3 linked regions of the Anolis sagrei genome follow. The protein of the gene in region 2 purifies or fractionates together with the protein of the main gene of each other region. This does not show direct contact. Links are inferred from orthologs where the notes say so. Each region holds a gene or a part of one and is shown on either strand. Other genes may lie near its edges.

Evidence for each region.
Region 1: the proteins of IFT43 (region 2) and TULP3 purify together in Homo sapiens (affinity purification with mass spectrometry; 5 studies listed by BioGRID and IntAct, counting the BioPlex papers as one, with this or other methods). This does not show direct contact. The link is inferred for Anolis sagrei from reciprocal best matches to the Homo sapiens genes IFT43 and TULP3.
Region 3: the proteins of IFT43 (region 2) and WDR19 purify together in Homo sapiens (affinity purification with mass spectrometry; 3 studies listed by BioGRID and IntAct, counting the BioPlex papers as one, with this or other methods). This does not show direct contact. The link is inferred for Anolis sagrei from reciprocal best matches to the Homo sapiens genes IFT43 and WDR19.

What each region holds. Positions count from the first base shown.
Region 1 is NC_090025.1:104,602,548-104,610,632, reverse strand, and holds the start of TULP3 (tubby-related protein 3), read left to right. Parts: upstream 1-4,986; 5' UTR 4,987-5,095; coding exon 5,096-5,139; intron 5,140-8,085. UniProt on the Homo sapiens protein: Negative regulator of the Shh signaling transduction pathway: recruited to primary cilia via association with the IFT complex A (IFT-A) and is required for recruitment of G protein-coupled receptor GPR161 to cilia, a promoter of PKA-dependent basal repression machinery in Shh signaling.
Region 2 is NC_090021.1:305,623,833-305,631,659, forward strand, and holds the start of IFT43 (intraflagellar transport protein 43 homolog), read left to right. Parts: upstream 1-4,757; 5' UTR 4,758-4,779; coding exon 4,780-4,890; intron 4,891-7,578; coding exon 7,579-7,662; intron 7,663-7,827. UniProt on the Homo sapiens protein: As a component of IFT complex A (IFT-A), a complex required for retrograde ciliary transport and entry into cilia of G protein-coupled receptors (GPCRs), it is involved in ciliogenesis.
Region 3 is NC_090025.1:119,211,767-119,219,684, reverse strand, and holds the start of WDR19 (WD repeat-containing protein 19), read right to left. Parts: upstream 3,100-7,918; 5' UTR 3,017-3,099; coding exon 3,011-3,016; intron 312-3,010; coding exon 220-311; intron 1-219. UniProt on the Homo sapiens protein: As component of the IFT complex A (IFT-A), a complex required for retrograde ciliary transport and entry into cilia of G protein-coupled receptors (GPCRs), it is involved in cilia function and/or assembly.

The DNA of each region.
Region 1 (8,085 bases), on a different chromosome or scaffold from region 2:
GCAGGTTACTTCAACCAGAGAAGTCAGCCATAGCAGAGCACCTGATGAACCAATCTGGACACAGCATTTTATTTGAGAACACAGAAATGCTGGACCACTCTCACAACCACCATGTTAGACTACACAGAGAAGCCACTGAAATCCACAAGCATGTGGACAATTTCAACAGAAAGGAAGAAACCATGGAAATGAACAAAGTCAGTTAGAGCAGGAGTAGAGTCCGTATGCTGCAGTGAGATGTCAGTTAATATATGAGTCTGTTTGCAGCAGATGTATAGTACAGTGAGTTGAAGTATAGTACAGTGTAGTACAGTTTTAAGTTTAATTCAGTTGACATCTGTTTCAATAAGCAATGTACCTTCTTGCTAAATACACAAAGCTTGTAAGTATATCAACGATGTTAACTTTTAACGAAGACTACTTATTTTTTTGGTCTCTTAAGAACATGATTTTAAAACAATATATTTTATGGGAGAGTAGATTATATATTTTTGTGCAACAGAAATAACACTTCTGAAGATCTGCTACATATTTTATGCATTGGCATTTCTTTGTTCCTAGCGGTTCAAAGAGATAGCCAAGTATATCAGTCTAACAGCTGAGAAGCCTAAACTGCCTTGTATAAATACTAGTAATTTACCACTAAGGTAGTGGTTCTCAACCTGTGGGTCCCCAGGTGTTTTGGCCTGCCAGAAATCCCAGCCAGTTTACCCAACTGTTAGGATTTCTGGGAATTGAAGGCTGAAACATCTGAGGACCCACAGGTTGAGAACCACTGCACTAAGGAGAAGATTGACTCAGGTGAGTTTGTAACTCTTCTTGGGAAGATCATACTTTACAAAATGGTTACGATCTCTATCAAGGTCATGCCTTTCCAAAAGGTTATGATTATTCCAAATAGTCTGGCTACCAGTATTGAAAAAACTCTACAATTACAACAGCAAAACAACAGAGAGGAAACAATATGGGACATGTAATCACCTCTCAACAAAAGATTGCCCCAGGCACTGCCAGGCAATCAAATGCTAATCAAGGTGGTCAGTTGAAACATTCACACCTAGCTCCAGGAAACAAGAGTCCTTTGTCCCACCCTGGTCATTCCACAGATATAAATCCTTTTCCCTAATTCCAACAGACCTCACTACCTCTGAAGATGCTTGCCATAGATGCAGGCGAAACGTCAGGAGAGAATGCCTCTAGAACATGGCCATATAGCCTGAAAAAACCTACAACAACCCAACAAAATTAGTGTTGCATAGTGTAATCTGTGTATCCCGCCCTCCCTCCACACTAAGCTCTCTCCCACCAAACCTAAAGGACTGGTCCCTTCCCCGGCCTCTTGACCCCATCCTCGCCTCTCTCACCTGTTCTTGGGGCTGGAGCGGCGGGGACTGGCTGCAAGCCCCGTTCTCCCCCGCCTTGAAGGGAGAACGTGGCGAGCCAGCCGCCAGTCCCTCAGGCGGTCGGTACCGCCGTCTTCCGCCTCTTGGGTTGTTTGAATTTGGCGCCCAACAAGGACGTTCGACGCCACGTGACGGCGCCGGGCCAATTAGAGCGCAGGGGGCGGAGCCTGTGAGGAAGGAGAGCGAACGGTAGGAGCAGCGGCCCAGGCGCATCTCTTTCGGAGGCAGACTTGCTGTGTATGTGTACACATGCGTCAGGATAGGTGTTTTGAGTTTGTATATGGGTGCCCTCACCTGCCACAGTCATTCCCCAGCTCTGGCTCTCCACGGTTTGGAAGGGACTCCAACTCCCAGAAGCCTCAGCTGCTCTGACCCAGGATAAGGGATTCTGGGAGTTGAAGTCCCAAAGGGTTTTCATCCTCCAATGTGGTTTTGCCAGTTTCTTCCTCTGAAATGCTGCCTGCAACAGCTGGCATTTGTCAGCGGCGTCCCATTCAAGAGCTGGCCCTGCTGACTTTGCAGGATCAGACGCCATCTGGGGCGTTTAGGATTTATGTTGACAGTTAACTGTCCTGCAGTTCCAGAAATAAACGGAATCACCAAAACAGAGATATTAATAATGTTGTAAAATAATATTTATACTTAATAATACAATATTTTATAATAATATAATATTTATACTTATGATATAATACAATATAATATGATCTATATAAATCAAAATATAATGTTCGTTTGTGGGATTAACTGAACTCAAAAAGCACTGGGGGAATTGACACCAAATTTGGATGCAAGACACCTAACAACCTAATGTATGTCCTTCACTCAAATTTTTTTGATTTTGTCATTTGCGAGTTGTAGTTGCTGGGATTTATAGTTCACCTACAATCAAAGAGCATTCTGAACTCCACCAACGATGGAATGGAACCAAACTTGGCACACAGAATTCCTATGACCAACAAAAAATACTGGAAGGGTTTGGTGGGCATTGTCCTTGAGTTTGGGAGTTCTAGTTCACCTACATCCAGAGAGCATTGTGGACTCAAACAATAATGGATCTGGACCAAACTCTACACGGATACTCAGTATGCCCAAATGTGAACACGGGTGGAGTTTGGAGAAAATAGAATCTTGACATTTGGGAGGTGTAGTTGCTGGGATTTATAGTTCACCTACAATCACAGAGTATTCTGAACCCCACCAACGATAGAATTGGGCCAAACCTCCCACACAGAACCCCCATGTGGGCCACAGCAACGTGTGGCAGGGGACGGCTAGTCTATATAAATAAAAAGTAATGTTCGTTTGTGGGGTTAACAGAATTCAAAAATCACTGGGGGAATTGACACCAAATTTGGACATGATACACCTAACAACCCAATGTATGTCCTTCACTCATAAAAAAACAGCAGAAGGGACTTAAAAAGCTAAATGACGAAAAGCTAAATGACAATACAGAAAAAAAGGAAGAAAGAGGAGGGAAGGGGAGAAAAGAAAGAAAGAAAGAAAGGGAGGGAAGAAGGAAAGGGAGAAGGAAGCATATAAGCAAAGAGAAAAGGAAGGAAAGAGGTAGAGAAGGAAGAAAGGGAGGAAAAGAAAAAGGGGAAAGGAAGGAAAGTTAGAGAAGAAAGGAAGGAGAGAAGGAAAGAAAGAAGGAAGGAAAGAGGGAGCGAAGGAAGGGGGGAAGATGTAGAGAAAGAGGGAGGGAAGGAAAGAGAGGAGGAAGAAAAGAGCAGAAGAGAAAGAAAAAGGGGGAAGGAAGGAAATAGATAGAGAAGGAAGGAAGAAGAGAAGGAAAGACAGGAAAGAAGGAAAGAGGGAGTGAAGGAAGGAGGGAAAAAGGGAAGGTTGGCCACAGCAATGCGTGGCAGGTACCACTAGTAATATAATATTATTTATTTACAACATTTATATGACGCCCTTCTCACCACGAAGGGAAATCAGAGCGGCTTACAAGATAGATATACATACATACATACAAACACACACATACACACACACGCTGTGCCACTAGGGGCCCCCAGTAGTATAGTACAGTATAATAATATATTTATTTATTTATTTACTAGATTTATATACCACCCCTCTCAGCCCACAGGCAACTCAGGGCGGTTTACAGTCAGTACCAATACCAAAAAGTACAATTAAAACATTAATATAAATATAAAAGAAGTAAAAACAATCAATATCAATTAAAAACATATATAATTAGAGTCTCCTTGTTCAAACAGTGTCCAGTCACGTCGTCCAGTCTTTCCATTTTTCATCTGTAGTAGTAGTAATTTTATTGATTAACCCTTAGGCCATATCACAATAAGAAACAGAACAACAAGGTCTGATAAGACCCGATCACACTCCACGTAGTAAGTTAAAATAAGACACTTATAACGATACAGTAAATAAATATGATAAGACATGATAAAACTGATAAACTGATCAAGCTGAGTATATACATCATATTTCATTATCACCCCTACAACTTACCCCAATCAGCCCTAAATATGTGGTTCTCAGACGTATTGTTTTGCTTAAGTACAGAGCTGTTTTGTATGTTATTTTTGGGTCTTGACCACACATAAAATATGTTGTTCTGATGTGAGATTCCCAATACATTGTCCATTTGACAATCTAACCATTGTCTCGAGCTGATCAAATCTGACTCGAGTGAATACCTCCCTGAGATTTTTCATCTGTAAACGCTTACTCGGCCCCTCTTCCTTTTTCCCTCCATTTCCCCCAGCATCATTTTCTTCTCTAAGCTTTCCTTTCTTCTCATGATGTGGCCAAAGTACTTAATATTTGCCTCTAATATCCTTCCCTCCAGTGAGCAGTTGGACTTTATTTCCTGGAGGATGGACTGGTTGGATCTTTTTGCAGTCCAAGGCACTCTCAGAATTTTTGCAACACTATTTTTGTTGGGTTGTTGGTTTTTTCGGGATATATGGCCATGTTCTAGAGGCATTCTCTCCTGACGTTTCACCTGCATCTATGACAAGCATCCTCAGAGGTAGTGAGGTCTGTTGGAACTAGGAAAATGGGTTTATATATCTGTGGAATGACCAGGGTGGGACAAAGAACTCTTGTCTGCTGGAACTAGGTGTGAATGTTTCAACTGACCAACTTGATTAGCATTTGATGGCTAATAAAGGTGGTCAGTTGGAATTTCAAGCATAATTGGCATTTCGGAAGATCTGTGCACGATGGGTACCCAGGATGCTGACGCTGGTTGCGGAAACAGTGTCGACTTGTTCTGTGAAGGCTTCAGAAAACTTGTTCATCGTTGGCAGAAACGTATCCAATTGTCTGGTGATTATGTGGCAAAGTGAATAGTGGTAGTTTAAGAGCACATTGTAAGGATTATTTCTGCGTTTGATTTATTAAAATATTCCCATCCAAACCCAAGTAACGAAGGTGGAGGCATTACTTTTCAATCAACCCTGGTAGAGAAAGATGTTGAAGAGCCCTGGGCCCAGGTCTGAGGAGAAGGCCGACGTCACGCTCTTTGCAAGTTGATGCGTGGCTTTGTTTTCTCCCTCACCCCGCTCTGGCTGCGCCCAATGAGGAGCAGGCGTTGTGCGCACGCGCCGCCCAGTGCCTCGCGGAGGCTCCAGGGGCGGGAAGGCGGAGGAGGGGGGCGGTCCCAACCCGGCGAGGGGGCCGCCCCCTCCCCTGGTTGCCATAGCAATGGCAGGATGGCCAGCCGGAGCGGAGTGACTTTGGCTACCATGGGAGCCAGGTGAGGCCAGGGCCCGAGGGTCCTCTTGGCGGGGCGCCCCCTTTTGGGCGAGGGGGGTGCTGGGGCCGCAGCAGAGGCTGGAGGGAAGCCCAGGAGGGCGACGCCCGGCCCGCGAGCTTGCAGGGATCCCCGCCAATCAGCAAGCGCGCGGAGGCCTCCCTGTCTCGAGCTCTGCGGCCGGAGAGAAGGCTTTTGCAGTGTATCATAGAGGCGCTGCTTCCTCTCACCCGGAAAGAAGGGAAGGGGGCGCCATGGCGGCTGCTCCTTCCCCCATCTCCTTGGTCCTTTTCATCAGTCAAGCCTATTTTTATCAGTGGAAGGGAGGCGCCTAAAGGCGAAGAGCAGGGAGGAGGGCACCCAGATCTCTGGAAGTTTTGAAGCAGAAGCTGGATGGCCATCTGTCGGGGCTGCTTTGATTGTTCTTTTCCTGCATGGCGTGGGGTGGGCTAGATGTGGTGACTTCCAGCTCTGATTCTTCCATCTCCTTCCCCCTAGCAACAATATAGTACTATAGAACACTTTTTTTTTGTTCTGTCAGGAGCGACTTGAGAAACCGCAAGTCGCTTCTGGTGTGAGAGAATTGGCCGCCTGCAAGGATGATTTGATGTTTTATCATCCTTGTGGGAGGCTTCTCTCATGTCCCCGTATGAGGAGCTGGAGCTGATAGAGGGAGCTCATCCGCCTCTCCCTGGATTCGAACCTGCGACCTGTCCGTCTTCAGTCCTGCCGGCACAGGGGTTTAACCCAATGCACCACCGGGGGCTCCTATATAACACTAATATTGTGCTATGCTAATCTATATAAATAAAAATGTAATGTTCGTTTGTGGGATTAACATAACTCAAAAGCCACTGGGGAAACTGACACCAGATTTGGACACAAGACACCTCTCAGGCCAACAAGTGACCATCACTCATAAAAACACTGAAAAACACAGCAGAAGGGACTTTAAAAAGCCAAAAAATACATTACAATGCATACGCAAAACCACATATATATACACAAACACACATATATACACACATATATGCATACACACAGAAAGAAGGCAGGAAGGAAAGAAAGAAGGAGGGAGAGAAGGAAGTAAAGAAGGGTAGAGAAGAAAGGAAGGAGGGAGAGACGAAGGAGGGAAGGAAAGAAAGAAAGGCAGAGAGGAAGGAGGGAGAGAAAGAGGGAGAGAAGGAGGGGAGAGAAGGAAGGAAAAAAGAAGAATAGAGAAGGAAGGAAAGAGAGAAGGAGGGAGAGAAAGGGAAGGAGAGAAGGAAGGAAGGAAGGAAGGAGAGAAGGAGGGAGAGAATGAAATAAAAAAGTGAAAGAGGGAAGGAAGGAGACAAGGAAGGGTGGAACCAAAGAGCTAAGGAAGCGAGAAAAGAAACAGAAGGAACAAAGAAGAAGGGAAAGAAAAAGAGGAAAGGAAGGAAAGAGGGAAGGAAGGAAGGAGAGAAAGAAAGAAGGAGAGAAAGAGGGAGGGAAGATTGGCCACAGCAACACGTGTCGGGTACAGCTAGTAATATATATTGTATATACATATAATATTGATAATAATAATATAATAATAATGATAATACAATATAATAATATTAATTCTATATTATATATTACATGTAATATTACAGTATACCAATATAGGACAATATAGTAATATATAATGATAATTTTGTGCTATGCTAATAATCTATATAAATAAAAATGTAATGTTCGTTTGTGGGATTAACATAACTCAAAAACCACTGGGCGAATTGACACCAAATTTGGACACAAGACACCTATCAGGCCAACGAATGACCATCACTCATAAAAACCCTGAAAAACACAACAGAAGGGACTATCTATATATATAAATCTGTTAGGTTGGTTCAACCGGACAGCAAAACTCCACAACCCCCCAACGAAACTGTACCAAAATTGCCATGCCCATAACACAACCCACAAGGTACAAACATATCTACTCAAAATGAAAAACAACACAACAACACACTCACAAAACGGCAAAACAACAAAACTCAAAAAACCCCAACGAAACTTAACCAAAATTGCCATGCCCATAACACAACCCACAAGGTACAAACATATCTACTCAAAATGAAAAACAACACAACAACACACTCACAAAACGGCAAAACAACAAAACTAAAAAAAACCCAATGAAACTTAACCAAAATTCCCATGCCCATAACACAACCCACAAGGTACAAACATATCTACTCAAAATGAAAAACAACACAACAACACACTCATAAAACGGCAAAACAACAAAACTCAAAAAACCCAACAAAACTTAATCAAAATTGTCATGCCCATAACACAACCCACAAGGTACAAACATATCTACTCAAAATGAAAAACAACACAACAACACACTCACAAAACGGCAAATCAACAACACTCACAAACCCCCCAACGAAACTTAACCAAAATTCCCATGCCCATAACACAACCCATAAGGTACAAACATATCTACTCAAAATGAAAAACAACACAACAACACACTCACAAAACGGCAAAACAACTGAGCATGCGCATTGGTGCCCAGCCGCAAGTTCCCTGGCGCGCGCACACAGTTCCCTCTGAGGAAGCCATGCCCACTCCAAGCCCCGCCGCGCCGCTTCCCGCACACACACCCCCTGCCGCACGCACACACACAACCCCACGCTCTATCACTCCCCCCGCCGCACACACACACGCAACCCCACGCTCCATCACTCCCCCCACCGCCACAGACACACACGCAACCCCACTCCCCCCCGCTGCCGCACACACACACGCAACCCCACGCTCCATCACTCCCCCCACCGACACACACACACGCGCAACCCCACTCCCCCCCGCTGCCGCACACACACACGCAACCCCACGCTCCATCACTCCCCCCGCTGCCGCACACACACACACAACCTCACGCTCCATCACTCGCCTGCCCCAATCTTACCTCCTTTTACTTCACGC
Region 2 (7,827 bases):
AAATGCACTGAGGAGGAATGTCTGCACTTTTGGAGACTCCCATCCCCACCTCTCTTTGAGCAAAAAAACTGATGCCAATTATGCAAGTAGTGGTTTAAATAATTGTTAACAGTGCCTGCCAAGCCAGTTCAAACGCATCAAGTGGTCTGAACTGCCAGTGATCTAAACTATACCGATGTGTTGCTTAGCTTTACTAGAAAGTAAAGTAGGATGCATCTACACTGTAGAGCACATCTACACTGTAGAATGAACATAATGTGACAGCCCTTTAATAGCCATGGCTCAGTTCTATGGAATCCTAGGGTTGCAGTTTGGCAAGGCACCAGCAGAGAAGAATAAAGGCCTTGTAAAACTAGAACTCCCTTGATTCCATTGCATTGATCTTTGGAAAACTGGTTCCTATGGCCGATTACGGATTTGAACCCGTAAATCCTAAAGTCCTAGTGCAACACTGAAATCACTACGGTATACTGGCTCTCGTCTTGTTTTAATAATATCCCAAATCTGAAGCCTTTTCAGACTTGATCTACACTACTATGTGATGCTGTTTGGAACTGCATTTATATGGTCAGTGTAGACCCATATGCAGTTCAGTGCACCCCAAACTTCATTATATGTGCCTACACTGACTATATAATGCAGTTTCAAACAGTCATAGTGTAGTTCCTCTACATCAGGAGTCCCCAAACTAAGGTTCACAGGTTGGATACAGTCCTCCAAAGTCATTTACCCACCCCTGCCCTAAACTTTAGACTTAGGGTCACTCTGAGTCTGAAACAACTTGAAAGCAAACAACAACAACAACAACAACAACAAAAACAATCTTAATTAGCTTGACTATCTCATCAGCCAAAAGCAGGTCCACATTTCCCAATTCAATACTGGTAAGTTAAGTTTATGTTGGTTAAAATGATTCTTCATTTTAAATATTGTATTATTTCATGTCTATTTGTACTACAAATAAGATATGTGCATAGTGGAATCTTATTACTATATATGTGCCCTATGATAGGACTGCTGGGTGCTTCCATTCATAGAGAGCAGAAACAAAATAACTCTGTAATTGTATGGGAGAGAGTGGGTTTGCCTATGTGTGAAAGGCCCTTTCTTTGAACTTCTTGGCCTCTTTCTCAAGTGAAAGGGCCTTAAAAGCGTGTTGCCTCCATAAAACGTTGGGCATGACTGGGCAGCCTTTGACTGTGGACAGAAACAGGCAGCTGCTGAGGCTTGTGGCGTCTCTTGCCCAGTGATCAAGGCAGGCTGCGCTTCATTTATTTTATTAGGCAAAGTCCCCAAATGTTGGGTTTGAGAAAGTCTTGCTGAGGGAAGTCAACAGCGCTCTCTGGCGGGAGATGTGCGCTTCTTAAAAAGAAAACACATCTCCCAGGAGGAGCCCCTGTTTATATATAGGAGTGGTTTCCAAGAAAGCTTGCCCCAGAGCCCAAAAAAAGAGTGGGTTGGGTGTTTTGGCCTTCTGTCCTCCTCCCAGTTATTTCCAGCTGTTAAACTGCATCTTGAAACTTAAAAGCATAAGTCTTACCTAATGTGACCTTTCCAGGATATGAGAAATCTCTCTATTTATTACAGAAATAGGATACTGTGGTGAGGTTTCGTTTCAAGGCCTGTTAGGATGGAAAGATGCATATTAAAAACATCATATGTACTTGTGGCCCCCATTTATCCCTCAGGGAGACTTAGCTTTAAATACCTGCATGTGTAAGAATTCAGTTTAAGGATAAATACCCCACAGGAATAAAAATCTAAAATCATATTACAGTCTATAATTGTTGGAGTTAGGGATACAGGACTCTCAGGAAAGTGAAAAAGCATAAATAAATAAATTTGTGCCCTTTTTAAAACCCAAAAAAACATATCTCTAGGAATTGGCAACCCCACCTCTGAGCATTCCCTGTAAAATAGTTAATAGGCGATATAAAGGCACAACTACTCACAACTTTACTTGAGTTAGGGAGGAGTTGTTGGATCATGCAAGGAATCAGTGAGTGCAGTGTGTATCCACTGTAAAATAAGATGCATTAAGCTGATTGATCAGGCAATGCCTAGGGAGATGGCTGAACTTGAGACTTTTGAATACTGTTACATTTTTGTTCAGGCTTAGGCTATGCAGGGGCAGAGAGAGAAGAAGAGAGAAGCAGAGAGAGAGAGAGAGAGAGAGAGAGAGACTGATTTGCTTCTTGGCTGCTAAAAGAAGGTTGCTCACATGGACACAGAAAGGACCATTTTAAATCTCTCATGTTGTTGTTCATTTGTTCAGTCGTCTCCGACTCTTTGTGACCTCACGGACCAGCCCACGCCAGAGCTCCCTGTCGGCCGTCACCACCCCCAGCTCCTTCAAGGTCAGTCCAGTCACTTCAAGGGTGCCATCCATCCATCTTGCCCTTGGTTGGCCCCTCTTCCTTTTGCCTTCCATCTTCCCCAGCATAATTGTCTTCTCCAGGCTTTGCTGTCTCCTAATGATGTGGCCAAAGTACTTCAACTTTGTCTCTAGTATCCTTCCCTCCAATGAACAATTGGGCATTATTTCCTGGAGGATGGACCGGTTGGATCTTCTCGCAGTCCAAGGCACTCTCAGAACTTTCCTCCAACATAAAAGACATTTAGTAAGTTGATACAGCTGATCATATTGTACAGATGTTGTTCTAAATTAAGAAGAGTAAACTACTTGTTCTTAACTGTTCACCTGCATGGCATATTTTCTTTCCCTGGCAAGGCAGTATGTGGGCTGGTTAAAGATGAACTACATGTGGTTTATTTTTCATAACACCACATAGTTGAATTTTGTCTTTCTATGCTCACATGTGTTCTGCAGTTGGTGGTGGTAGGCCTAGCAGTTGGTGATGAAAGGATTAATTCAACCCTTAGTTCTAAAGGGTTGAGTAATCTGTAAGTAAGAGTTCATGGGTGAAAGCAATTAAGGATGGAGGCATGCAAGAGATAGTGTTTCTGGATATAATGAACTAGACTTGGAACTAATCTTCGGGAGAAAAGTAATTGTCTTATTTTGCTGGTAGATGCTGCTGGTTTTCCCCCAGGTTTGTGGATTTTTGGTATCCTTACTTGTCTTCAGTACTCTTGTAACCCTGGAATCTTGAATCTCTGGACTGGCTTCTGACTAGACTCTTGATTCCTGGACTTCCTCATTGAACTCTCGGCATTTGACCACTGAACTGGACCTTTTGACTACGGTGTTATCTTGAACATGCAACAGTGTTTGCTGTCAGTTTTTGTTTTATATTCTGTGGCTGACTGCTATGTTTATGTTTTATATTTTGGACTATTATAACAGCCAGAAAGTAAGTGTTGTTTTAATTAAATTGTTTAGCATAAACTGGAAGTTTGTTTGATCCATCTCTACCTTAATATGGTGTTTTGGACAACGTGCAATGCACCAATGCTTCAACCATTCTGATTTTGCCCTTATCTATAGCCAGTGTTCCTACGAGTATCCCTGTAGATCTTAAAAAGCTATTTCTTGATTGAAGGTGTTGGTGTACTGGCTGATATCCAAACAGAGGATGGGCCGGAGATGTCAATGCCTTGGTCCTTTAATTGCTGGCTGCTACTTTCCAGCGAATATCAGGTGGTGCTATACCGGCTAACAGTATAATTTCTCCAGCGTAAACATGTCTCATTAATGTGACATGTCTCATTAATAGTCACATCCACTGTTTTAATGTGCTGAGATGTATTCCATACTAGTGTGCATACTCAGCAGCAGAGTAGCAAAGTGCAAGGGCTGTATCTGGTTGTGATCCCCAGGTTGTGCCAGTCAGCTTTTGTATGATATTGGGTTGCTCTGAGTTTTCTGGGTTGCATGGCCATGTTTCAGAAGCATTCTCTCCTGATGTTTCACCACATGATATGAGGATGATATTGTTTCTAGCACCCACTTTTTGCTTGATAGTGAAGAAGTGCTTCTTGTAAGTCTTAAAGACCAGGCATGGGCAAACAGGGTTAAACCCCTGTGCCGGCAGGACTGAAGACCGACAGGTCGCAGGTTCGAATCCGGGGAAGAGGCGGATGAGCTCCCTCTATCAGCTCCAGCTCCTCATGAGGGGACATGAGAGAAGCCTCCCACAAGGATGATAAAACATCAAATCATCCGGGCGTCCCCTGGACAATGTCCTTGCAGACGGCTAATTCTCTCACAACAGAAACGACGCTCCTGACATGACAAAAAAAAGTCCAAAACACTTGGAGGGCCTAAGTTTGCCCATGCCTGCTGTAGACAATGGAGATATTGAAATAATTCAAGATTTCCCCCCATCCTTTGGTTAAGTCATTAATCAGAATGGGGATTGCAGGCAAAAAAATAATGAAAAGAGGGTAGCTATGAAGAAGTTTGTTTGACAAGTCCAAGTGAACTTGTTACTGGGGTTGCGGCTCCTTTAAGACAGTCCCGCCCAAACTCTAGTCCTCTTGGGCAGCTGGACTTCAACTCCCAGAAGCCTTAGCTGCCTTGGCTAATGAGCAGGGATTCTGGGAGCAGAAGTCCAAAACACCTGGGAGACGAGACCGGCTTTAAGGGCAGCCTGCGGTTGCTAAGGACGCTGAAAGGGGCGGGGCTTCCTCTAGGAAGCAGGCGGCTCTCCCTTTCCCTGCGCGCGCGACAGGGGGCTTGCACCATGGAGGACGACTTGGATTTGGACGAAGAAGTCTGCAAGGGGGTAAGGCCAGCCTGGGGTTGCCATGGCGACGGCGGTGGGAGGGGGCGCTTCCTCCTCGCCCAGGTTTTCCCTCCCGCTCTCTCTGCGCAAAATGGCGCGGCCCAGTCGGCCTCGGCCTGCGGAGCTCGACAGCCAGCCGTGCCTCTCTCCTCAGGCCGAGTCTCTCTGGGGGAAGGGAGAGGAAAAGAGCCAGGACTCCGCGGTGTGCTCCTTGTTACTTTTACCTTGTTGTTGTTGTTGTTGTTGTTGTTGTTGTTTGCCTTCAAATCCGGCCTAACACGACTCTGTCACGGCTTTCTTGGCAAGATTGGTTAATGGCCTTCTTCAGAGGCTGAGAGAGTGTGACTTTGCTCAAAGTCACCTAGGGTGTAGCTACACCAGGCCTGGTCAAACTTGGGCCTTCCAGGTGTTTTGGACTCCAACTCCCACAATTCCCAGCAGCCTCAGACACTTTCCTTTTCCCCCTCAGCTACTTAAACTTGGGCCAAGCAGCTGAGAGGGAAAAGGATGGGGCCTGAGGCAGTTGGGAATTGTGGGAGTTGGAGTCCAAAACACCTAGAGGCCCAAAGTTTACCCAGGCCTGATCTACACAGTTCTTCCCCAGCTTATTTGTCTGAACGCATCCGCTCCTATGTCCCAACTCATAATCTAAGACAGGGGTTCTCAAACTAAGGCCCGGGGGCCAGATACGGCCCTCCAAGCTCATTTACCCGGCACTCACTCAGGGTCAACCTAAGTCTCAAATGATTTGAAAGCACACAACAACAACAACAATCCTATCTCATCAGTCAAAAGCAGGTCCACACTTCCCATTGAAATACTAATAAGTTTATATTTGTTAAAATTGTTATTCATCTTAATTATTGTATTGTTTTAAGTGTTTTTTGCATTACAAATAAGATATGTGCAGTGTGCATAGGAATTCATTCATGTTTTTTTCAAATTATAATCCGGCCCTCCAACAGTTTGAGGGACTATGACCTGGCCCTCTGTTTAAAAAGTTTGTGGACCCCTGATCTAAGATCATCCGGGGAGGCCCTGCTCTCGCTCCCGTCAACAGCACAGATGTGCCTGGCAGGGACAAGAGACAGGGCCTTCTCGGCTGTGGCCCCCCGCCTATGGAACACGCTCCCAAATGAGGTAATTATTATTATTTATTATTTACTTTATTTGTATACCGCACTATCTCAGCCCGTAGGCGACTCAGTGCGGTTTACAACAGGACAATATACAAAGTGCATAGCATTAGCATCTAAACAATCACTAAAGCAGTTAAAACAATACAACAATACATCAGTAAATGAACAAACATCAATACATCCAATAAGGTAAGATCCGCTCCCTTTCTCCTGGCTTTTAGAAAAAAAATTAAAATTATGGTTTTGGGACCTTCGGGCAGTAGAAGTAAAGGTATGCAGCATTTCAGGAAGACGATGACAGCAACAGCAATTTGACGAACAAGACTGTTTTATTGCTTATGGAACTATGGTTTTTATTTGATTTATGTTTGAGTGTAGTGTATAATTGTAATTATTTGTACTGGCATTGAATTTTGCCATTACTTATGTGTAAACCGCTTTGAGTCCCCCTTGGGGTGAGAAAAGCGGTATAGAAATACTGTAAATAAATAAATAAATAAATAATAATAATGCACTGTAGAACCAAACCTCAGCTGATGACAAAGGCCTACTATGTTTAGGTAAGGACTTCCTTCAGGTCCAAATAGGTTTCAGTTAATTGTTCTTTTGTGTAATAATGAAGAAACCGAGGTATCAGATGAGGTAGACTTAAATCTGCGAAAGCAACCACCTTTTTGTCTCAAGATTAGTCTCACATGCCTTACAAGATCCTTTTGTAAGCTCGCAGAGTCAGTTCTCACTGTAGCTGCCATTGTTTGTAAAATCTTTTGACGCAAATTCTTACTGTTTCCTTTTTTCAGTGGAAAAGTATTTCCAATAAGTCTATTGCAGTCTGCCGTCAAGTCATTTCTGACTTATGGCCACCCTAAAATGACCTTATCACAAGGTTTTCTTGGCAAGAACCTGCCTCAGAGGCACCTGGAAGGAGTATTGCTCTGATAGCCTTTCTGACTACTGAGAGCTATACGTCGATCAGTCTTATCCAGAATCATTCAGTGGCACAGATTCAAATTTTGGTTTTTAATTTTTAAAAAATTCCTTTTAAAAAACATTTATTTTCAAAATTATTGTGAATTGCTCTGCACAAAATTATACAAAAATTCAAAATATTTTCCATTGTTAACATATGTTTACATCATTTCTCCTCTTTCTCCCCCCTCTCCTTCCCAGAAACAGTTTTCAGATTTTGCTGTACTTACTACAATGGTTTGATCATGAGGATAATCTTGTTTAATTCCTTATAATTATCTTTCCCTTTATTCTGTAAATTAAGCCTTTCCATTTTGCCTCCCATGACTTTCTGATTTGGACCATCCTGTAGTAACTTTTCCTTTTGCTAATGTAGTTTTGGAGACGGTAGTCTGCTAAATATTTAGTGAATTAGATACAAATTTTGTTTTTAAAGCAGAGGTACACTGAATTTTGATAAGATCTTCATACTCTTCTTAAAAAGATTTTTCAAAAAGCTTTTAAAGATTTTTTTGTGGAATCCCTACCATGCTTTTGTGGAACACAGTGGGGAATTGCTGATTAACCTGTCTATCTTTTGATCTGTCTATTATGTCTGGGAAAACTTTGGACAATCAGAATTTGGGACTTAAGACTTTTAAAAGCCTCAACTAACATTTTTAACATTAAAGGATTCTGGGGGTTGCAGTCCAAAACATTTGAAAAGCCAAAAGTTCTCAATCCCAACATACATTTTTGTCGCTGGACTTTTGAACCATTTGGACTCTTTGTGTTTTATGTAGATAGCAAAAATGGGTCGACGAGCTCATCCGGATTTCACCCATGATGAAAATCGTCGTAGCAGGATCAACTCTCCTCCTGTAGAGGTAGGTGTATTTAAATTGGTCAACACTGCTTACAGCCTGGGGTTTAATTCTCTAGTAAAGGGAACCAAATGATTTTTTTTGTCTAAGGTAGACATCTTAGACACAGGTGGAAATTGAGATCCTGTAAGTAAAACAAATTATTTCTGCTGCTCTAGAACATATTGT
Region 3 (7,918 bases), on a different chromosome or scaffold from region 2:
AATCCCAGCCAAAACATCAGGTTGAGAACCACTGACCTAGAGATTACCAGAAGAGCATTCTCCCAAGGAATCTCTAGATTTCTCAGAGGACTCCATGGTCACTTTTGAGAGGAAATTGCTCTTGAGTATGCCAGGGAGAACATTAGTCAATTCTATAGATAATAAAATCTGCAAAAGTCAAACTCACAAACATGGAGCACTGACCATATGTTATCTTACCTTGTAACAGCAATGTAGTTTCCTAGAGCTTTTTGCCAAGCAAATTGTATGGGGGAACTAGGTGAATCCTTTTCTGAAAGGGTAAACACTCGCTATGAAAAGAAAAACAAAATCAATTATAAGTTTGTAAACATACAATATTTGATCCTGGTTATAAATGCTATTTCCTAATTGGTTCTGTCATAAAACATGGGGAAAATGTGCTGCAACACATTTTGCTATAGTTTTTCAATATCTCAGAGTCACAACAATTCAACATATTTGTGGCAGCCACAAAAATGAAGTTTCTGGAGTATAACAACTACTTTCAAAGGAAGTACCGCACAATTAAACAGGAAATAACATTTTCAAACCAGGAACAGATTTCTTTGTAACATAGCATCCTGTGAACCCAGGGAAGAGAACCCACCCCACATTTTGGATAACCTCAAATCCAAAAGATCCGGACCTATTTTGCATCCTGAAGAGCTTCTTTTAAAGCCTAGTTTAAAACTTAGATTGGATTCACCACTCACTGCCATGGAAACCACTGAGCACAATCCAATACACACAAGTTTCTCCTTAGCAATTTCCCTGAGCATCACTTGTTGAATTTTTGTTTGCTCTAAAACAATCAGGGAGATTGACATCCCTGGGAAATAGAAATCTGAATCCCTAGTTGTGGTAATAAACAAAAATTCAACAAGTGATGTTTAGAGAAATAGCTAAGGGGAAAACTTTGTTCACTATTATTATTATTATTTATTGGTTAAATGTAAGTAATTTGTAACATTGTCACAACCGCATATACACAATATATTATTATTTTTACCACATATAACACATTCTGTTGATTACATTTTATCTTTTACAGTTCAATACATCTATCACTTATAGATAAAGGTAAAGGGTTCCCCTTTACGTTAAGTCCAGTTGAGTCTGTCTCTGAGGGGTGGTGCTCATCTCCATTTCTAAGCCAAAGAGCCGGCTTTGTCCATAGACACCTCCAAGGTCATGTGGCCAGCATGGAGTGCCATTACCTTCCCACCGGAGCGGTACCTATTGATCTATTCACATTTGCATCTTTTTGAACTGCTAGGTTGGGAGAAACAGGGGCTAACAACTCCACTCCCTGATTTGAACCGCCAACCTTTCAGTCAGCAAGTTCAGTAGCTCAGTAGCTATTATTTATACATATCCATTTTCTCCCTCCCCTTTCCTCCTACTCACCTCCCTATGGGGACAGATATAACTCTACTCATTGGTTTAAACCAGGGGTCCACAATCTTTTTAAACAGATGGCCAAGTCACAGTTCCTCAAACTGCTGGAGGGCCAGATTATAATTTGGAAAAAAAATGAATGAATTCCTATGCACACTACACATATTTTATTTGTAGTGCAAAAAACGCTTAAATGCAATACAATAATTAAAATGAAGAACAATTTTAACAAATATAAACTTATTAGTTTTTGTGTGTCAGGAGTGATTTGTATTACTGTTGTTATTGTTTATTGTTGTATTGTGGGCTTGGCCTCATGTAAGCCGCACCGAGTCCCTTGGGGAGATGGTAGCAGGGTACAAATAAAGTTTATTATTATTATTATTATTGAGAAACTGCAAGTCGCTTCTGGTGTGAGAGAATTGGCAGTCTGCAAGGACGTTGCCCAAGGGACGCCATGATGATTTGATGTTTTTATCATCCTTGTGGGAGGCTTCTCTCATGTCCCCGCTTTGGGAGCTGGAGCTGACAGAGGGAGCTCATTCGCCTCTCCCCGGATTCGAACCTGCGACCCTTCAGTCCTGCCGGCACAGGGGTTTAACCCACTGCTCCACTGGGGGCTCTATTATTAGTATTTCAATGGGAAGTGTGGGCCTGCTTTTGGCTGATGAGATAGCATTGTTGTTGTTGTTGTTGTGTGCTTTCAAGTTGTTTCAGACTTAGGTTGACCCTGAGCGAGGGCTGGGTAAATGACCATGGAGGGCTGTATCTGGCCCTTGGGCCTTAGTTTGAGGACCGCTGGTTTAAACTTTATATTATTTTTTCAATCATGATGATGTTTTGGTTCAGATCCTTATAGTTTCCCTTTCATTCTGACTACAATCCTTTTCCACTTTAACTGCCAGTTCTCCTTTGGATGGCCATTCAAATGGCTTCAAACTACAAGAGAGGAGATTCCATCTGAACATGAGGAAGAACTTCCTGACTGTGAGAGCCGTTCAGCAGTGGAACTCTCTGCCCCGGAGTGTGGTGGAGTCTCCTTCTCTGGAGGCTTTTAAGCAGAGGCTGGATGGCCATCTGTCTGGGGTGATTTGAATGCAATATTCCTGCTTCTTGGCAGGGGGTTGGACTGGATGGCCCATGAGGTCTCTTCCAACTCTATGATTCTATGATTCATATATATATGATATGCAGTCTTGGAACATATACTCTGATCAATATTTGAGCCATTTCTAAAATCCCCATTTCCCTTCATCTTTCCATCCTAAGGCAACTGTTGCTTGGGTCGCTGCTATCATATATTTTGCAATTACAATCTGGTCTGTATTCCTGAGAATCTCTAGATCAGACATGAGCAAACTTGGGCCCTCTCTTGAGGTGTTTTGGACTTCAACTCCCACAATTCCTATCAGCCTCAGGCCTCTTCCTTTCCCCACACAGCCGCTTAGCTGAGGGGGTTAGGAATGGTGGGAGTTGAAGTCCAAAACACCTGAAGAGAGGGCCCAAGTTTGCCCAGGCCTGCTGCACACTATACTGTGACTTGGCCTAGAAAAGCCCAACCGCCCTCCCACCCCTCCCAGCCCTGACCGACCTGCATCTTCTCGCCTTCACTCCGACGGTGTTTAAGGAGAGAGAGGGAAAAAAACAGAGCGACTGCGCCTGCGCAATCACCCGCCTCGGCTGGCCCCTCCCCTCTCCAAGCGTCGGCGTCACCCAGGAGATGGCGGCCCCCAGCAGAGGGCGTGTCTTGTTATACGTCACGGGTGCCTGAACGAGAGTACCTTTGGACTTCAACTCCCAGAAGGCTCGGCGGATCTGGTCTATAGCCAGGGCTTCTGGGAAATGGAACTAAAATTGATACCAGTGTGGATATTCCCATATCTAAAGTAAGCAGTGGTTTTTTAAAGCTGAACGATTCTACGGTCATCTTCCAAACTAGCTGAAGTTGGCTACAGTGTCATCCTGGAGGATCTAGAGCAGGCCTGGGCCAGCTTGGGCCCTCCAGGTGTTTGGGACTTCAACTCCCACAATTCCTAACAGCCTCAGGACCTTTCCTCCCCCCCCCCCCCTCAGGCTGTTAGGAATTGTGGGAGTTGAAGTCCCAAACACCTGGAGGGCCCAAGCTGGCCCAGGCCTGCTCTAGAGATTCCCAGAGGGAGTTGCAAAAGACGATGAACTAATAACGTATCTTCTATATAATCTATACAAATAAAAATGTAAAGTTCGTTTGTGGGATTAAAATAACTCAAAAACCACTGGATGAAATGCTGCCAAATTTAGCCACAAGACACTTATAATCATCATCATCATCTATATAAATAAAAATGCAATGTTCGTTTGTGGGATTAACATAACTCAAAAACCACTGGATGAATTGACACTAAATTTGGACACAAGGCACCTAACAACCGAATGTATGTCCTTCACTCAAAAAATTGATTTTGTCATTTGGGAGTTGTTGCTGGGATTTATAGTTCACCTACAATCAAAGAGAATTCTGAACCCCACCAATGATGGAATTGAACCAAGCTTGACACACAGTTCTCCCATGACCAACAGAAAATACTGGAAGGGTTTGGTGGACATTGACCTTTGGTTTTGGAGTTGTAGTTCACCTACATCCATAGATCACTGTGGGCTCAAACAATGATGGATCTGGACCAAATTTGGCACAAATACACAATATGCCAATATGTGAAAACTGGTGGAGTTTGGGGGAAATGGACCTTGGCATTTGGGAGTTGTAGTTGCTGGGATTTATAGTTCACCTACAATCACCCACCAACAATAGAATTGGGGCAAACCTCCCACACAGAACAGCCATGTGGACCACAGCAACGTGTGGCAGGGGACAGCTAGTAATAATAATAAAAACTTTATTTGTACCCCGCTACCATCTCCCCCCGGTGGCGCAGTGGGTTAAAGGACTGAGCTGCTGAGCTTGTTGATCGAAAGGTCACAGGTTCGATTCCGGGGAGCGGCGTGAGCTTCCGCTGTCATCCCTAGCTTCTGCCAACCTAGCAGTTCGAAAACATGCAAATGTGAGTAGATCAATAGGTACCGCTCCGGCGGGAAGGTAACGGCGCTCCATGCAGTCATGCCGGCCACATGACCTTGGAGGTGTCTACGGACAAGGCTGGCTCTTCGGCTTAGAAATAGAGATGAGCACCACACCCCAGAGTCAGACATGACTGGACTTAATGTCAGGGGACTACCTTTACCTTTACCTTTTACCATCTCCCCAGGGGACTCGGTGCGGCTTACATGAGGCCAAACGTACAGTACATCAATAAACAAAAGCAATAACAAAACAAACAAAGCAATACAATTAATAAAAATCACATAACAAAAAATAAACAATACATCAACAGTAACACACAAGCATTTAAAACCAATGGCCGGGCCAAATGCAATAGATTAAAATTAAGAATAATGCTGGACATGGACAAGGTAGGATAGAACTAGGGCAGAATTTTCAAGGAGAGATGAAGGAACGCAATCAATCCCAAATCAATGGTAAAGTGCATTTTGAGGGCATATTGCTGAGGGTTTTCCTTATTCTGGGAAGGCACACTGGAACAACCACGTTTTCAGGCTCCTCCTAAAGACTGCCAGAGTTGGGGCATGTCTGATGTCCTTGGGAAGTGAGTTCCAGAGTCAGGAGGTCACCACCAAGAAGGCCCTCTCCCTCGTCCCCACCAATCGCACCTGCGAAGGAGTTGGGGACGCAAGCAGGGCCTCTCCAGATGAACGAAGAGATCGTGTGGGTTCGTACACAGAAATGCGGTCACGCAGGTAGGCGTGACTGCATTTCCTTCGTACACAGAAATACGGTCACGCAGGTAGGCATGACCCGCCTACCTTCGTGACTGCATTTCCTTTTATAATCCTGCATGATCTCTTCGATCCTAGGGGGAGACACTCCTCTTGCTCCCACCTACATCTCAAGTGCGACTTGTGGGGATGAGGGAGGGAGCCTTTTCCGTTGTGGCCCCTCAGCTTTGGAACTCGCTACCTAGTGAGATTAGGCAAGCCCCCGCCCTGACAGCCTTTAAGAAAGTCCTAAAAATCTGGCTCTTCTGGCATGCCTTTGGCAAGTGAACACATCCCTATATCATGTCCGTACCAAATATAGTTCTGTCCTCATGATGCACTTTTTGTTGTCTTTAATGTAGGCTCAATCCCATTGTTCAGCCCTTCTGAGTTGCCCCACAGACTCATACTTCTCCATTTACTTATCTCACCCAGGGTTTTATCAATTTTATTCTGTGCATTTGGCCCGCCTACCTTGCTTTTATTTTCTTCTTCTTCATCATGTTAGTTTGCATCTGTTTATTTCATTTTCTGTTATTGGATGTATTTTATTTTGATGTTATTATTTGCTGTTTGTATTTTATTTTATTTTGTTGTCCTGTAATTCAGGGCTTGGCCTCATGTTAGCTACCTCGAGTCCCCTTTGGGGAGATGGTGGCAGGGTATAAATAAAGATGATGATGATGATGAGTATTATTATTATTATTATTATTATTACTACCCTGGACTGTGCTCTGACTTACAAGAAACACTGCTTGTATATCAAGCAAGAAGTGGGTGCCAGAAACAATATCGTACAACAGCTGACTGGCACAACCTGGGGATCACAACCAGATACAGTGAAGACATTTGCCCTTGCGCTTTGCTATGCTGCTATTGAGTACGCATGCCCAGTGTGGAACATGTCTCACCACACTAAAACAGTTGATGTGGCTCTTAATAAGACATACTGCATTATCACAGGATGTCTATGCCCTACACTACTGGAGAAATTATACTGTTTAGCCAGTATTGCACCACTTGACATCCACTGGGAAGTAGCAGCCAATAATGAAAGGAATGAGGCAGTGACATCTCCAGCCCATCCTCTGTTCGGATATCAGCCAGCACGCCAATGCCTTAAATCAAGAAATAGCTCTCTTAAGATCTATAGAGATACTTGCAGGAACACCTCAGCAAGTGAGAGTCCAAAAGTGGCAGGGTAAAGCCCAGAACCTCAAGCAATGGCTGATACTGAATGAGAGACTCACCCCTGGGCACACAGAAGACTGGGTGACTTGGAAGGCACAGAATAGGCTGCACTCTGGCACCACAAGATGCAGAGGCAATCTTAAGAAATGAAGTCCACGACATGCATGTGTCGAGAGAAGAGAAGAGCAAACCACAGACCACCTAGTACAATGCAGCCTGAGCCCTGCCACATGCGCAATGGAGGACCTTCTTATAGCGACACCAGAAGCACTCCCAAGTGGCCAGCTACTGGTCAAAGGACATTTAGTATAATGCCAAGTTTTTTAAAAATACATTACAACTGTACCCTCGGTTCGCTTCTGAAACAACAAATAAACTTGGCACTGAAAACATGTCAATGTTGAAGCTAATTTTGTCTCCAGGGAGAGGCATCACGTAGCCCATGCACTCTGCTTCATGTCTCCACACAGTGTACTGCAGATCTTAGTATGTGGGCCGATGTACATAGGCAGAATCACTCCTTAAAATATCTAAAGAAAAAGATTTCAAATCTAGAACAGCGACCTTCCTCCCCTTTCCACCTCTCCACACTTTAAAACTGCCTGAGTTAATGTAAATGATTGGTGATAATTACATATCACTGTTCTGACACCCTTGAGGAGAGCTGGAATTTATTTTAGCTGGCATGTGCTCTGCCTGTAGGTGCCCATCAGAATTTTCTAAATTTTTAATATGCATTTTTAAAATCAATGGGAGACTATAAATTGGCACTCCTTGCATTATATAAACATTTATCTGAGTTGCAGGTTCATTTTAGTTATCCTGGACTTTCCCATAACAGATGCTGTTAATTTAAATCCTCCATAATACCAGTATGATGCTATCAACATTTGCTGTTATTGACTTAGAAAATTTATATATGGTTCTCCTGAGATGCTTCATAGATATTTTACAAAAATATATCATCAGCTTTAGCGATGCTCTACTGATTATATTATAAAGACTATTTTTAAAAAATGAATGGTCAGATGTTTTGTTTTCTTTCCATTTAAAGGCTTATTTCAAGGCATTCTTACTTAAGCCATTGTTTAAGCCAGTGTTTCTCAAACTGTGCTCCTCCAGGTGTTTTGGACTTCAGCTCCCAGAAATCCCAGCCAAATTACCAGCTGTAAGGAATTGTGGGAGCTGAAGTCCAAAACATCTGGAGGAACAGTTTGAGCCATTCTGGTGTAACCTATTGCTTGCTCATCTTAGGATAGGTACAGGAATCACACGGGCTTTCAGGTGTTTTTGGATTGCGACTCCCAATAATTTTAGTCAGCATAGAAAATGGTAAGGAATGCTAGAAATTTGGACCCACCAACTTCTGTAGAATCACAAGATTGCCATTAATCTTAAGAGAAATGAGTGGGTGTACTTAGTATGTGGAAAGATAGGTACAGTATGTAATGGTTTGAACATTGGATGACGAGTCAAGGAAACTAAGAATCTGTGC